Linked DNA regions of Schizosaccharomyces pombe. Changing the gene in region 2 together with the main gene of any one other region gives a genetic interaction. Each region holds a gene or a part of one and is shown on either strand. Other genes may lie near its edges.

The links. A genetic interaction does not mean that the proteins touch.
Region 1: of alp31 (region 2) and alp21, extra expression of one is lethal in a mutant of the other (dosage lethality), as found in Schizosaccharomyces pombe (one study listed by BioGRID).

The regions. Positions count from the first base shown.
Region 1 is NC_003424.3:2,386,165-2,394,532, forward strand, and holds alp21 (tubulin-specific chaperone cofactor E), read left to right. Parts: upstream 1-3,771; 5' UTR 3,772-3,921; coding exon 3,922-4,076; exon of another isoform or gene 4,077-4,114; coding exon 4,115-4,383; exon of another isoform or gene 4,384-4,425; coding exon 4,426-4,525; exon of another isoform or gene 4,526-4,571; coding exon 4,572-4,847; intron 4,848-4,890; coding exon 4,891-5,626; 3' UTR 5,627-5,779; downstream 5,780-8,368. Other genes in the region: SPOM_SPAC22H10.08 (uncharacterized protein), read left to right, coding at 1-1,101, 1,158-1,277; protein Cbp8, read left to right, coding at 1,569-3,509; TOR signaling pathway transcriptional corepressor Ifh1, read right to left, coding at 6,206-8,095.
Region 2 is NC_003424.3:3,372,855-3,379,782, reverse strand, and holds alp31 (tubulin-specific chaperone cofactor A Alp31), read right to left. Parts: upstream 2,678-6,928; 5' UTR 2,636-2,677; coding exon 2,567-2,635; intron 2,504-2,566; coding exon 2,417-2,503; intron 2,265-2,416; coding exon 2,061-2,264; 3' UTR 1,883-2,060; coding exon of another isoform or gene 1,825-1,882; 3' UTR 1,780-1,824; coding exon of another isoform or gene 1,762-1,779; 3' UTR 1,715-1,761; downstream 1-1,714. Other genes in the region: SPOM_SPAC8E11.05C (uncharacterized protein), read right to left, coding at 495-1,511; SPOM_SPAC8E11.06 (uncharacterized protein), read left to right, coding at 1,689-1,714, 1,762-1,779, 1,825-1,882; SPOM_SPAC8E11.08C (uncharacterized protein), read right to left, coding at 3,965-4,267; SPOM_SPAC8E11.12 (uncharacterized protein), read right to left, coding at 4,779-5,087; SPOM_SPAC8E11.10 (sorbose reductase), read left to right, coding at 5,799-6,566. UniProt on the Schizosaccharomyces pombe protein: Required for the maintenance of microtubule structures and cell polarity. Beta-tubulin-folding protein; may have a regulatory role in the tubulin-folding pathway.

The sequences.
Region 1 (8,368 bases), 990 kb from region 2:
AAAGGAATTACTGCAGTTTTGTCGGGTATCATGGTTGCTTATGATTATAAAGTTGGACAAGAATTGCTTGAGCATAAAAATTTTGAACAACATGCCGAATTTTTTAAAAAGATTTTTGAAATAGGTCGACGTTATAAAGTGCTAAATCCCAACCGACTGGGGTCTACTTATGGGAAATTGATGTACTTTGTGCAAGATTCTATGCGACCAGAAATTCAAGACGCACTTGGATTTAACCTCTTTAAACCCATTTTGACTGTCTATGAATTTTTGAATGAAAGGGATGCTTTGAACGCATTAGAAGATCCTTATGCCGAAATTGCTACTATGGAAATAGTCGCTGAAAATAGATCACGCTCAGCGATTCAAAAAGATATTAAAGCGAAAGAAAGAGCTGTTGAACATATTGCAAAAAAGTATTACAGCAGCAAAATTACAAAAGAGAAAGTACGATGGTGTCTCTACTCTATTGCTGATAGTAACAGTTACTTGAGATATAATCGTGATCCAATTGCCAAACTCATAGGCTTGGTAGAAGCATATTTTTCTCCAGATACCGTGGACGATGAGTTTACTCTTGCTATTGATGCCATTAATGGCTCAAGACTAAAGCATAGTCATTACAAACAGTACCATTATGTTGTGCAAAGTTTGCATCTTTGGCTTTTAATTATGGGAGAAATATTTTCATTATGGGCTCTTAGTGATCTGGAGTTAACTAACCCAGATATGGAGTATAAGCTAATTGATAACAATCAAGGAATACACAGAATGCAGCCTTGTCCCAACATTAGAATTGCGATGGAAAGGATTTTGCGGACGGCTCAAGAACAGTCTGAAACATGGATAGGAAGTTCAACAATCCATCTCGGAGATACCGCTGTTCCAAATGCCTTATTGTTTATAGACAAGTATATGCAAGTGCCAAGGATTTTAACACCCTTGGTTCTATTGTTCAAGGAGTTAGATTCTTTAAATGACCATTCTCTTCTTAACTACATTGATACAGCTTTTGGAGGCAGAGAATATTTAAAAAAGACTATTTTAACCGATTTTATGAGATTCGGATTTGATGGATCTGGTGCAGACAATTGGTTTGATGTAAGTTAAAATTATCTATCTATATATATATCTGTTTAATTACTAACTAGCTCTAGGCTGGCAGTTGTATTGATGGACGTTTGACTAGTGCCTGGAATTGGGCAAACAACATACACACAAAAGATTACTATCGTGTACTTCTCATGTCCGGATTTCTTAGCTTCAATGGTGAGTAATTATTTAGTAATGGATTAAAATACAATCTTTTAAGCATCAGTTATTTTATTATTGCAAAAATGTATATAAATTCTCGACGTGTAATAGGCTCCCACCAACAACTGCCAACATCAGGAAATCTTATTACGTTTCGCGTAAATTGTTCAAAAGATTGACATAAATACACGTACCAAAAACCTTTATTTACTTTATTTTATTGAAGTTGGTTGTATTTAGAGATACTTTGATCGGTTTATACTTAGAATACTTTGGAGATTAATTTGATAAAGGATTAAACCTAGGATGCGTTTATGTTGAAAACCCTTAGCAAAGTGTCAAAAAACTTGTCAAATACAAGTGCTTTTCTTGTCAAGTCGAAACCCTTATACATTTCTTTTTGCACTTGCAAAGCGTACTTTGAAGACAATACTTCATTAAGCAGACGGTTTTTCTCTGCAAAAAAAAGTTTACAATTCAAATCTTTAATAAGAAAGTATTCTGAAGACTCTACCTTGGCCTGGAGAGATTATGAAAACTATAATGATGATGACCTGCTATATCAACGTGAGTTATCAGAAATATATAACAAATGTCTGAAAGCTCTGCATCCGTTTTACCCAGTTTTTGAGGTTAATAGTAACTTGTATTATCAGTTGCTAATGTTTACGAATTATTCAAATCCGAAAGATAATGGTTTTTCAAAATTGCTTTTCTCACAATATTCTGACGAAAAAAAGGTACTGGTAAATTTCGTATATAATGTGCTTCGTTTAGATCCGGATTTGCAAAGGCAAAAGCGAATTCTGGAGAGCATTATTTCAGCTGCCTTGAATATTTGCGTATCTACTGTAAATTTGAGTAGAACTGACTTAAAATCTTCTTTAAAAATAATTTTGCAAACAATTGATCTGTTTAAATATGACAGTTCATTCTCTTCTATATATTTTCGAAAAGATGGACCGTACCACAAAGTTGAAAAACTGCTGAAAAGCGCTAATATTCGCTCTTCACTTAATTCAAAAACTTTTAATGATTTCCGCACACTTTTCTTGCTTCTCATTAGAGATTACAGTCTTTTCCATGGAAATTCGAGCCATTGCATGTTAGCTAATTCTATGCTACCACCGTCTATTGCTTTTTCGAAGATGGAGAAGGCTGAAATTTTTTTACGTTTACGTGCGTTTTTTCAGCTTATGGAGCATATTGATAATGAAAGGATAACTCCATCTGAACAGTTTCTGGATAAAGTCTTTATATCTCTCCTTTCGGCTAAAAATAGCTGCTCTCTTAAAATGTGGCTCATTCACTCATTTAATAAGGGATGGCCGGTAAAAATTGAGTTTTTTGTTTCTTTTTTCAAAAATTTTTCCAATATAGTAGAAGGCTCTATGGAGGTCTATTCCGCATATTTACATATTATACGAGATCACTACAATTTATCTGATTTGGCTGACGTACAAGCAATTTTTCTTTCTCGTTTTATTTTATTAAGAAAGAAAGAAGATTGCAAAAAACTACTGGAGCATGTTTTACCTATTCGTCAGCTTTTTTTGTTAAATTGCTATAGCCTGCTAAATGTACTCGCTAATTACGTTGTCGTCTTTAAAGATCGTTTAATTTTTCAAGAAATAAATCAAAATTGGGAAGAGCATAAAGGCCAAATTCCGGAAAATTTTATTTTCTCTCTTTTGAAGATGTTTGGTGAAATGCAAGAGAATCAAGGTTTTTTGAATGCCTGTATTTATTATATAAACAAAAAGAAAAATTTAAACGAAGTTAGTCGTTATAAGATTAATTTATTATTACTACAAGGTGTGAATTCCTTCGAAGTAAAAGACTTTTACAGAAAACGAGGAATCGAAATAATGCCAAAAAACCTGCCCAGATTTTTTTGTTATTGTTTAAAAAAAAATAAATTAAGTTATGCTTTAAAGTATATACGGTTATCTGGGCTTCAGTTTGATTACATTGTTGATTGTTTCCGTAATAGCAGCGACTGGACCAGAACTCTGATTTCGATATTGAGCAAAAAAATGGGAACTGAATTCGCAATTCGTTTTTTAAAGATAATTTCTTTTCCTTTGTTATCAAATGACAAAGTTCTCCGAGAGATCGAATTTTTTGCCATTCACGAGGTAAATTTTAGAAGTCTCAAATGGGTTGCAGATCAACAATTGCGAATTCTCCCAGGATGGAGTTCTCGCCCCCAAAAAGCAACATTTCCTTTATGTACAGTTCATTTAAAAAAGTGATAATTCTCGATAGTGCTGCTTCCAATCTACATCGTGCTTGGTGCTTGATACATTTAAACGCATTGTTTGATAATTAATATATTCATTGGTATCAAGTTGTACTTTACGAGGTATGCAGCCAACAATAGATTATTTACATTAACATTGAGAGACTTAATAAAGCAGCACATTTAAAAATGAGATCGACATTAGAATCAAAACCCGTATAATAATAAGCAGTATTTCCAACTATTTTCCTAACAAATCTGATGCCATCTATATTATCACTACGTACTGAACACTTCTATGTCGCAAAGAAAAAGTGCGGTTAAAACTTTTTGTTGTAGATAAAAGACAAAATTTGAAAGAAACAAAAAACTTAAACTGCCCAAATTTTTATAGCAATCCATTTTCTTTCCCACGTTGATTAATAATGCATATATCCACTGGAATGGTTAGGGCTTCTATATCTAATACTTTAGTAACATTAACCATCGAAGGAAACAATGATCGATACCAAGTCATACTTGATAAAAACGTAAATGCAAAACAGTTTGTTAAAACGTGTTGGAGAAACAAAAAACCATTGTAAGATTGTTATTGACGACAAGAAACTAAACTATTAGAATTGTAAAAGAAGGAAAAATATTTGTAGACAAAGGATTCCCTTTTGATCCATGCAGAACATTTTTGGAAGCACTTTACGAAAAATATTCATATTCAAGTCCCCTACCTTCCTCTGTTGAATTTAAAAGTGGAAAACAGGTAGAATTCTGTGGTTTCGAAAAAATCCAAAGCAAGCAAAGAGATTTAAAAAGCTTGCGCGTTATTATTCTAGACAATTATAGGATTGAAGATATTGAAATAGAGTACGAGTATTCTAAAATACTACCTGGTATGTCACTTATTTTCAACTAAATGTTAACGGAATTTGTAGAAGTTATCGACTTAGATTTATCGAGAAATTTGTTTCATGAATTTTTTCCAATCCTTAAATTGTGTTCCCAGCTTCCTTCATTAAGAAATTTAACTCTAGAGCATGTGTTTTTGTTTATCTCTACACGTATATTCTAACTCTTTCAGTTCAAACTTATTTTCAAATTTTATTAGCTCAAATACCGTTCTTTTAATTCCTCATTTAACACAACTTTCAGTGAATGGATGTGGCCTAAACAGTAAAGATGTTCAATGGATTACAGAGACTTTTCCCAGTTTGGAAGTACTTTACCTTGAAGCAAATGAAATAATTTTATCAAAAGCAACATCTTTTAAAAATCTGCAGTTCCTTCAAACGTTAAGTCTTGCAAATAATCTCAATCTTTATAGTGCTGATGGCTATGCAGTTGATGTGTTCCAAGGGTAAGTATATTTGAGAAATACGAATTAGGTTTCTAATCTAAAGAATTAACAATTTGAATTTATCTTCTACCTCCCTCGCTGATGTTGCAGAACTACCTGTACACACTTTACACAAATTGACATTCCTTGACATATCAGAAAACAACATTAGGGATATTCGTTCTCTGGATCATCTTCGTACATTAGAAAACTTAAAGCACCTGCGTATAACACTTTCTTATTTTAATAAACCTACTGATATAGCTAAACTGCTGGTGATTGCGCGAATTCCTTCTCTTGTAAAATTGAATGATGTGAATATATCACCTAATGAGCGTTTGGATGCTGAGTTGTACTACACTTCATGCATCCGGAAGCTTGTGATTGATAATGAAATTAAGGATGTTGAAGAGCTTACGAAAATAGAGCCATTCTGGGAGGAAATATGGAAATCTCACGAGTTGCCAAGCATTCAATTCCATTTGGAAGCTTCAATCAATGACTGGACGTCTGGCATTCTTAAAAATCGCATAACAAAGGGCATCAAAATATCGTCAATTAACTCAGGTGCGACAATGTTATTAAAGCTCCATTATAATTGGAAACTGTTAGATATAAAAGCTTTAATTTCATACCACTTCGCAATTCCAGTACATACGTCTACTTTTGTCTTTGCTTCAAGCGAACGAGATGTAAGCTTCTCTCCAAAGACTGTCAGAGACGACCAAAAGCGTCTCTTTGAACTCCCTTTTACTTGTACTTTTATCGATGTATATGCAAAGGAAAGTGGAAACGTCTAAAGCCAAGTTATTACTTGAAGGACCAAAATCGATGCTCTAGTTTTACGGCTTCTTTTAAAATACAGAAAAATCTTTTTAGCGAACTCTTTTCTAGTATTATAGTTTACGCGATTAGTCATTAGAAGTTTTTTATATTTAATATTCAATAACTCTTTAAATATACTAATTCCATGTATATACCATATATGAAAAGTGCCTCTAAGTTATTTAATCGGTTCGACACAATTATAAAATTATTAAGAAACAAAGAAAACCAAAGCCAAAACCTTGAACCAATAGAAAAAAAAAATACACGTCAAGTGTGACAAACTAATCCACCACGGTCAACTAAGATCAGGGAACTGGTGATAATAGGGAATCCTTGATTACATAGTTGCAACAAAGCAAGTTCAAAGACCAAATGAAAGCAAAGTGATCAACCATGTCATATAGATTTATTCTTCAATACAGGAAAAGACACAAAGTCCAAATATATTAAGGTTGATAAACGAAAAAATAAGAAACCAATATCGTAGTATTGGAAAATAATTCAGCACACCAAATACACTTATAAAATAAATTAGAAAGGAGACAAAAATTTTAATAGCCAGAAGATTCTAAGATTTCAAATAGGGGAGATAATTCTGGGCCTAAGCCCAACCCTACTGTTTCATAATCATTATCAAGGTAAGAGCCATCATTGTGTTCGTCTTCAAGCGCACTTTGAAAATCAGAATGCATCTGACGAAAAGTCATTTTACGTGCTTTCTTTTTGAGAGCACGACGAGCCTTACGTGATTTTGGTCGTAAAGGAACGGAATTTGTGGTAGTCATACCAGTAGCATTAATTTTGTGTCGGCGTTTTTCACGTGTTTTGATAGCTAAGGTAAACCATTCATCTCGAATTAACTCATCGCGACGTGCCATAGATTTTATGTACTGATTTTTTCGAAACGTCCCAATAGGAATTTTTTCCCAGCGACTCAATGAATTATCTTCTTGTGCAAAGGAAACTGAATTTTCTTCTTGAAGATCAGTTTGTGTAGAAGGTTGCAGAAGAGATGTATCAAGAATATCATCTAGGGATGGCTCTTCTGAAGTTTCATTCAGAGTTTGAGGCCCATAACCGTTGTTAGCAGTGTTTTCACCCTTTGTACATGCATCAAACTTATCATGGTGAAGGGAATGAGAGTGTTTACCATCAATAATACCAATCAAATGATTCGGTTCCTTAGCCCAGGTACCCATTACAGGCGGCTTTGGTTGGGTTATATTTAATCTTGGATCTAATTCAAAAGATGCTACAGAGACAACTGTAGAAACTGGTTGAGCTAAGGTAGCTTTAGCTAGTGTTGGGGTCAAACCAGTACTATTATCGGAAATATTTGCACGAGAAGCCAAAGAAGTAAGATCTTCTTTATAGGCGAGTTCAGCTGATAGCTCAAGCGGAGTAGGGACAGCTGAAAGTAGAGTACGTTGTGAGTTAGGTGATTCCGATAATTCTGTTTTGATTCGGGGTGTTTGACCGAAAGATTTTTTAGGAGTAGATAGATTTAATAACTTATTGTTTTGTAATTCTGGTGTTTCTTCATCAGTTGTATCCCCTTCATCATCTGCTTGGTGAGATAAAGTGTTGAGTTCGTCCGAAGAATCATCAAAGAAGCATTCCCATCCAATCAAGTCAACATCATCTTGTTCATTGTCATGATCGTCAACGCTAGAATCTGAACTAATAAGCCCCAGTAAGAAATCATCATCTGATCGCTCATCCATATTTACATGTTCGGTAAGAAAACGTTCACGATGGCTATTAAAAGAAGCCATGTCCATGTCCAAATTATCAACCCAGGAAGCGCTAACTATATCTTCTTCTTCTTCCTCTTCTTCTTCCGTAGATGTCGAAAAGCCATTTTCAGTTTCACCTTCGTACGTTGAGAGGTGCTTGCTTTTCGAAAAACCTTGATTATCCTTTTGTGGAGAAATAAAACATTTATTTTTCCAACTCTCTTTAAACATTGCATCTCTTTTTAAAATTTTCGGTGCCTCTAACGCAAACGATCCTTGATTAGACGAACGTCGTCTAATTCCTGCGTTTTCTCGTTTTACAAACTCTGTAGGGGGAGTAGAAACTTTTAAAAGTCCATTGGATACCTCTTTCGACTTGGGATGTGAGGAAGACTTTTTCCAAGAATTAATTTTCAGAGGCTCCTTATTTGAATAAAATGGTTTTTCATCGACAAATTTCTCTTTCGATCTACCGATTTCAAATCCCAGGGATAATTTTGAATCAGAAAAATCATGAAATTGATTTTCCTCACTGTCAGATAAAGGCAAATCCAATTTCTGTCTTTCTTCTTGAAAGATGAATGTTGGCATTTTGTCAAAATCAACGGGAAAATTCAATTCCGCTGGTAACTTTTTAATTTCTTCAGTATTTTGATACCCATTCTGTATATCATACTCTTCAATTCGCCCATTCGTTAGCGCCATCCTAACATTCGCAAAGACGAATTACTTGGCTGTGGTTAAGTACTCAACTGCTTGAAAGCGGAATTCTTAGCCTCTAGTTCTGATTCCACCAACTACCCTACCCTAAAAGTTGTGCGTGAAATCAGCGTGATGCCGCCCTAATTTTTCACTTCATTACGGCATTCCCAAAGGTAACACAAATTTCATTGCGACACTTAACTTCACGACACCAATGTTCATAATGGTGCTATAAATTACAACAGAATCTGCAACAATTGCTACTTTATATTATTT
Region 2 (6,928 bases):
AATAAGTATAAATAAAAATAAAATTTCAACTTCCTGCTTATAATTTTAACAGTTCATTCAAGTTGTTATCAATTTGCCAGAAATGTGTCGACAAATGTTCTTAATGTTTTTTTAACGATGAATAACTTAAGTACCAACAGTGAATCAAAATTTGCTCCTTTTCTTTAGAGATAATTATGGACTATTATGTAAATAACCAAGAATGGCGCTTAGGTTAGGATACTGTTCCATTTATATTTACAAGTGGTTGACATAATATTGATAAACACATAGAGAAGAGTCATTAAAATATTAGTCATTAAAAAGAAGAGAAGAGGCAAAAGAATCGAAGAAGACAATACAGCTGAATCACAAGTCAAATCTAATCACGTTAGACGTAACAAAGGTTCGTCAGCAACAAAAATAAAACGCTTCCGTTTTATTTTACTCCCGTAAAATTAAACAAGAAAACAGCAATTCAGGAAAAGAGGTCGGTAATTAAAGATATAAAGGGATCATTTATGAGAGGAAGTGCTCCTTCTAGAAAGGAATTTACGACCAGAGTTTCTTAAACGTTTGCTATGTTGAACTAAATCATCGACAACCGTCTCATATAACAACTTATCGCTAAGAGCTGAATCCCTTTTATCGGTCCAATATCGAGCAACTTCAACAGCTTGCTGCAGAGTTGATTCTAGTAACTCTATATGCTGTTGTAAAGACTCATGAGATCGGTGGGTTAATGCGTCTTTGTTTATGCTGCATAAACGACGAGCAGCTGAATAATCTAAATATGGTTCATCCTCAGATTTTGGCAACGTCACGGAAGACAATTCTATTGTGCGTGAAGAATTGAATGATCCCTGGGTAGAAGGAGTAGGCAAAAGTTCATCCAAATCAACAGGAAGACCCATAGTAACTAAAAAAATATGCCTGATGCTAGACCTCAGCCAATCTGGCCGTTGCAGCACGGGCATTTCAATCAGTTTTTGCCAAAGAGACAATATACGATCCGGATCCAAGGAGGATTCTTCAATTGTTTTCGGAGTTTCAGGTAGTCCAAATACAGAATTGACAGCATCTTGGAAATCATCTTGCCAATCACCCATAAATGTACAGATGGGGATATCATGTTCAAATTCACCAAAATCGTCAAATTCGTCAAACTCTTCTTCCTCTTCAACTTTTTTCTCCATTTCATTGTCTACAATGCCTGATTGGGAAATACTAGCTTCTCTATTAATACTAAGACTCTCCGCCCAAACAGTTGATGTAGCGTCAAGGTCAAGTTTAGATGCTTCAACGACTTTTTGGTTTTTAGAATCGTAATCCTCTACAGGATTTAAATCATCTTCTTCAAGAAGGTGTGGATCTATTTTTGTATCAGCTCCCTCTTCGCCATCTACATCTTCCTTCAACGATGAAGATGCAGAAGGGTCAATATTTACTTCAGAGTTGCCGCCGTCAGATTTCTTCTCTTCTTCTAAACCCAACACAGGTGATTCCCTTGATAATATTGGCGGACTTGCCATAGGTATACAAATGGAACGTTTTATGCTCCCAATCTGTTTAATGTTCACGCGAAGTGTTTCTTTCTCTTTGCTCAGATGGTAAGTAACGTCAAACAATGAGCTGTACAATCTAACATAGTGATACGCTACATTACACTCACAATAAAAGTGCAAATAAATACTAGAGGACGACTGTCTATGCTGCTTGTTAGCAGGAACATTTGGTTGTTTTAAAATTGTTTGATTGTCCAGCTAAAATTTAAATCTCTAGTAGAATAAAGGGGAATACGTATGTTTTTTTATGTGAACAGTTTCACCTAACTGGCAAAATTAGAATAGATTGGCGAAATCTTAAAAAAGATTTAAGCATGACTTGGATAATCCTTAAGTAGTTGGGATTGTCTATTATTTTAATGGATTGGAATAAAAATCGAAGACACAGTACAGTTGAGTAGGATAGCATTGAAAGGGTGGGTAAAGAATGATGAACGTAGAACCTTTTCATGATCGTCTTTTGAAGGGTCAGTAATAAATTTTAGCAGGGATCTACAAAAGCTAGTAAATGTGTATTCAGTGGTACCCATTCGTGGGGAAATTCGTTTGCTCTTTTTCAATTACTTCTTTTGCTTTTTCTAAATATTCATTTGCTTGTTCAAGTTCAGGAGTTCCTTCGTATGCACTGTCAGAAGAAATGGATTCCAAGTCGTTCGTCGCATTACGAAGACGTACAAGAGCATCTGGCAACGCCTCAAGATGCTTCTTCAAAACAAATTTCTAGAGGTCCAGAATGTCAGTACTTTGATTATTTTTTATTTTAAAAAAGATACGCTAAAGCGGAAACCACCGAAAAGTATCTTCAGCTTGGTAGAAACATCTTCTAGCACAACACGTCCAACGTTTATATGGTTTCAACTAATGCAACATACCTGATGCTCAATTTCTGCAGAATCTTCCCCATTATCAATTTTACTTTGTACACGTTTCTCGGCCTCGTTAATATCGATATGAGCCAACTAAACAATTGTTGAGGTCAGAAAATTCCATCTACAAAATCGCGATCCAAAAAGGAAACTTACTTCTACATCTTTAATAATTCTTTTAACGACATTAGTTTTGATGACTAAGCTCCTAACAGTATTTGACATGGTAGAAAATAAAATGGACGCGATATGCAAAGGAATAATGTTAGGTTGGATGATTTTCCTTGACTGCAGTGTAGGTAACGTTGGAATACAAAGGAATGCTAATGTTAGCGTGTGGTGATAAGTTACGAGAAACGATTAAGAAAAGCTAGTTCTAGTTAAGTTTTCAATTTCTTTTAAAGCCCTTTCCTTAAATTCCTAAAAAAGGGTATTTGATTAAATGTTTGCATCAAGTATCAGACTAGTTATTGATCGACAAACGTTTCATTCCTATATTATGTATGAGATAAAATTGCTCAGTTATTTCTAAATTTACGATTCACCGATACTTGTACCAAAAATTTCATGCTTTTATGGATGCTCAATCATATGGGAGGTTGAGCTTTTCGGGATTCAGCTATATGAAAATTTTCTAGCGCGTAATTCATTATATTTAGACGTAATTGCTTTTACAAATATTTTCCAAAACAAAAATTTCTGATTCTCCGTACACACAGTTATCTCCCAACAACCGAAATTGTTAAAAGCACGATTTCATATAAGGATAGGTTGATTGCTAATCACTCGAACCACAGTCTGTTAATAATTAGTCAACTTTGCCTAGCCAAAAAAATTCAGCTTCTATCTTAATCCTTGGAAAACAAAAAATAAAAAAAGGACCTAATACCCTCTTTCAAAGTAGATCCTGTACAAGATATTTAGTCTACTCAAAAAGCCGGTACAACGATATTAATGTCAACAGACTTCGGTATAATGGGACCAGTCTTCAATGTGAGGATAATAGCTAAAATCCTTTACTCTATATAGGACTTTAAATGGATCCTTGAATATTATTCTGTTTTCTAAAATGATTGATCATATTCTACGCCACAGATGCATCAAAAATTCAAATCATCGCTTGGGAGATAAAAGAGTGAACGCTTTTTCATAATCGAACAGCAACCTTTCGAACCCTAGTAGTCATTAGTATTTTAATCCACTTTTTTTTTTGCAAAGCTATGAAAAACAAAGACTGCAACCTGGTATAAGCATTTTAAACATATCGTACTTTGCGTGATCTAACAAATTAATCTCTATCTTGTCAGTTCACAACTTTGGACAGATACAGATGATGAATTTCGACAATTAAACATTTGCAAACAAGTCAAAGCTCAACATACAAGCATTCACTGTTTAACGCTTTTTGAACTTTCTCATTTCCTGAAACGTTTGTTTACAAGCTGATATAAAAAAAGGGATTGAATTGAACGGCTCAGTTGATATAGATTAATTTAAAAAGTGAACTCCGTTTAGAAAGTATCGCATAAGTTAAAAAATGGTATTCAAACAAAGCTAACAAAAACGAAACAAATCGCATTTTCCCATGAAAAATACAAGGTTGTTCGGAAAACTGCATATTTGAACATGATGACAGCCAAGAAGAAAAATAGAAGGATTTATTAGAATTCCCTTAAACTTTTCATTATAGTCTTTTCGGTACGGTAACAACCATATATACAATCTATACATTTCTTCAGACCATTCAAATCTTAAAATGGAGCTCCCCTTCAATTGAAGAAACGGAAAATTTTTTCTTGTCAAATTTTTACAGACTACTAACCTACTAAACAGAACCTCATTAGTGGTAAAGTCCATTTTAATACTTCTTGCTTATTAATTCATTATTTTATTGCCGTAAAACATAAATTATCCTTTTATTTTCTTCTTCTTTTCTTCCCTTGTATAATACTCATTTTTCGCCAAGTCTCAAGTATTCCAGTGTTCGATTCCGACCATGGAAACGATCTCGGTCGGGTAAAATGAAGACTCTGGTAGTCTCCAGGCTATTGCATCTCGTTCAGATTTGGGTTGATCTTCTGGAACAATGCGGGCAACTGGTAGAACGTTAATGAGGGAACAGATGAAAAACTGGAAACCTAGATGCGTGACAGGAGAATCTGGTGTTCTTTTTTTTTGAATAAGTATATTTAATAGTTAACAATATCGAACATGGTTTTAGTTAAAAACCATGCAGAAACTACTGAACGCAATTAAGTTTAATAGTTCTTCTACTTACACATTTTTTCAACCGTTACTTTACTAGTATAGTCTGGAAATATATATATATAGTTATTAACATGTAACTATTACCTTTTTTAGATAATATTTAAAAAGACATTCTTCCCATCATCCCGCATCTTGACTGTACAATATAATACCGGTACTTAATATAATAGTAAGACGAACAGTGATTTTGAGCTTCTTTCGGATCTGATATTGCTATGGGTGGAAAAAGAAAATTTCGGATGGATTTAGGATTAATGCAGAAGAGAATTTGAGGTAATTGAGTATCATTTTCAAGCGAATTTTTGCAAAACGAAATTGTGTTGCCCTTATAGAACTCGCCAACTTTTGGTTCCTCTTCCGAGTCCAGTTCTTTAATCGCTTGCATCTTGATCGAGAGAAGCGAAATCATACCCCAAATGGCCAAAATCACTTGGCCATTTGTTAATTTAAGCTACCTTTGTCGTCCGACGCTCCCCTTCTTAATCATGGGATTTTATCCGTACTTTCTCCCCGGATTTAAGAGAAACTCGTAGTATTTCACGAAAAAAAAAGAAAAGATGAAATGAGTTTCCAATTTATAATAAATGAATTGTCATTCTCACATTTATGAATTGGATTTCTATATTTTGCGGGTTACACTATTTTGACTCCTATGTGTGTAGCCTAGTTTCTCGCAGTTATTCATTCAAACTTTCCACTCAGCCATCACAATACCCGATATTATCGGTTTGATGGATCTACTAGTGTCACTCGAGTAAAACGACCGTTTTGTCTATTTGCGCTATTTTTTTCCTCCTTTGCAAATCGTTTATTTACACATATATTTTTTCCAACAACACTATTTAGGACTGCTCTTTCTGTGTGTCAAAAAGAGGAAATTTTTTGTATAAAAGCCTTGGGTCCATTGCCACAAAGCAATTTTTCTTTCTGGTTGCCAAGAGTGCCTTCTCTTACTATTAAAAATCTTTCGGAAAAAAATTTTTGCTTTTCATCTAATCAAAAGCTATTAAACCGGTGTTCATAAATTTTACTACCACTTTTTGTTCGCTAAAATATTTTTGTGGGGTTTTTTTTTTCTTAATAATTATTACATCGTTCGGTTTTTTTCATATATCTCATAATGACTTCTATGTTTTCTCTTAAAGGTAAAACCACTCTCATCACCGGTGGTTCAGGCGGTATCGGATTTTCGATTGCTAAAGCATTCGCTGCCGCTGGATCTAATGTTGGTCTTTTGTACGGTCGTAACAAAAAGGCTCTTGAGTATGCTGCTGAATTACGCGACAAACATGGTGTTCAAGCCAAGGCTTATTCTTGCCCCATTGAGAACCGTAGTGCTGTAATTGAAACCACCAACCAGGCAGTTGAGGAATTGGGTGGTCGTTTGGATGTAATGATTGCTAATGCTGGTATTGCGATTCCCCACTTATCCTTGGAAGATAAGAATGAAGACATCTGGACCAAGGTCGTGGGCATAAACCTGAACGGTGCTTATTATACTGCACAGGCTGCTGGCCATCATTTTAAGAAGCAAGGAAAGGGCAGTTTGATCTTCACGGCTAGTATGAGTGGTCACATTGCCAATTGGCCTCAACAATGGGCTTCTTATCATGCTACCAAGGCTGCTGTCAAACATCTGGCTCGCGCTCTTGCCGTTGAGTGGGCCCCTTTCGCTCGTGTCAACTCCGTGTCTCCTGGCTACATTGACACAGATTTGACTCTGTACGCTGATGAAAACTTGCGTAAGAAATGGAAGGAGTATACTCCTCAAGCCCGTATTGGTCTACCTGATGAGCTTCCCGGTGCTTACTTATACCTTGCTTCCGATGCTAGTTCCTACTGCACAGGTAGTGACATTATTGTTGACGGTGGTTACTGTTCTCGTTAATTTCTTTACTATTAATATTTCCCTCTATAATCATAATTAAAAACTTGAATTTTTGAACCTCCCTTGAGCCTATAATCCAAAACAGCTACGTCAAAAAGGTTCTTCTTCTGGATCTGTTTCATTTTTAAAACATTTCCCCTCTACCGTACTCATTTTGTTGTTGGAGCTTAGATCTCTACACTCATGGCAGCATGTAATTTGAATTGGTTTTTTTAAAACAAACTGCTATTCTATATGCTTCCTCTCCCGATTTGTCGTTTTGAAGTTTCTAATGCTTTTTAATTATCATCTAACAAATCTAAAAAGTTTTATCACTATAGTTAACATAAACACTGTGTATGATAAACTAACTCTTTCTTTCT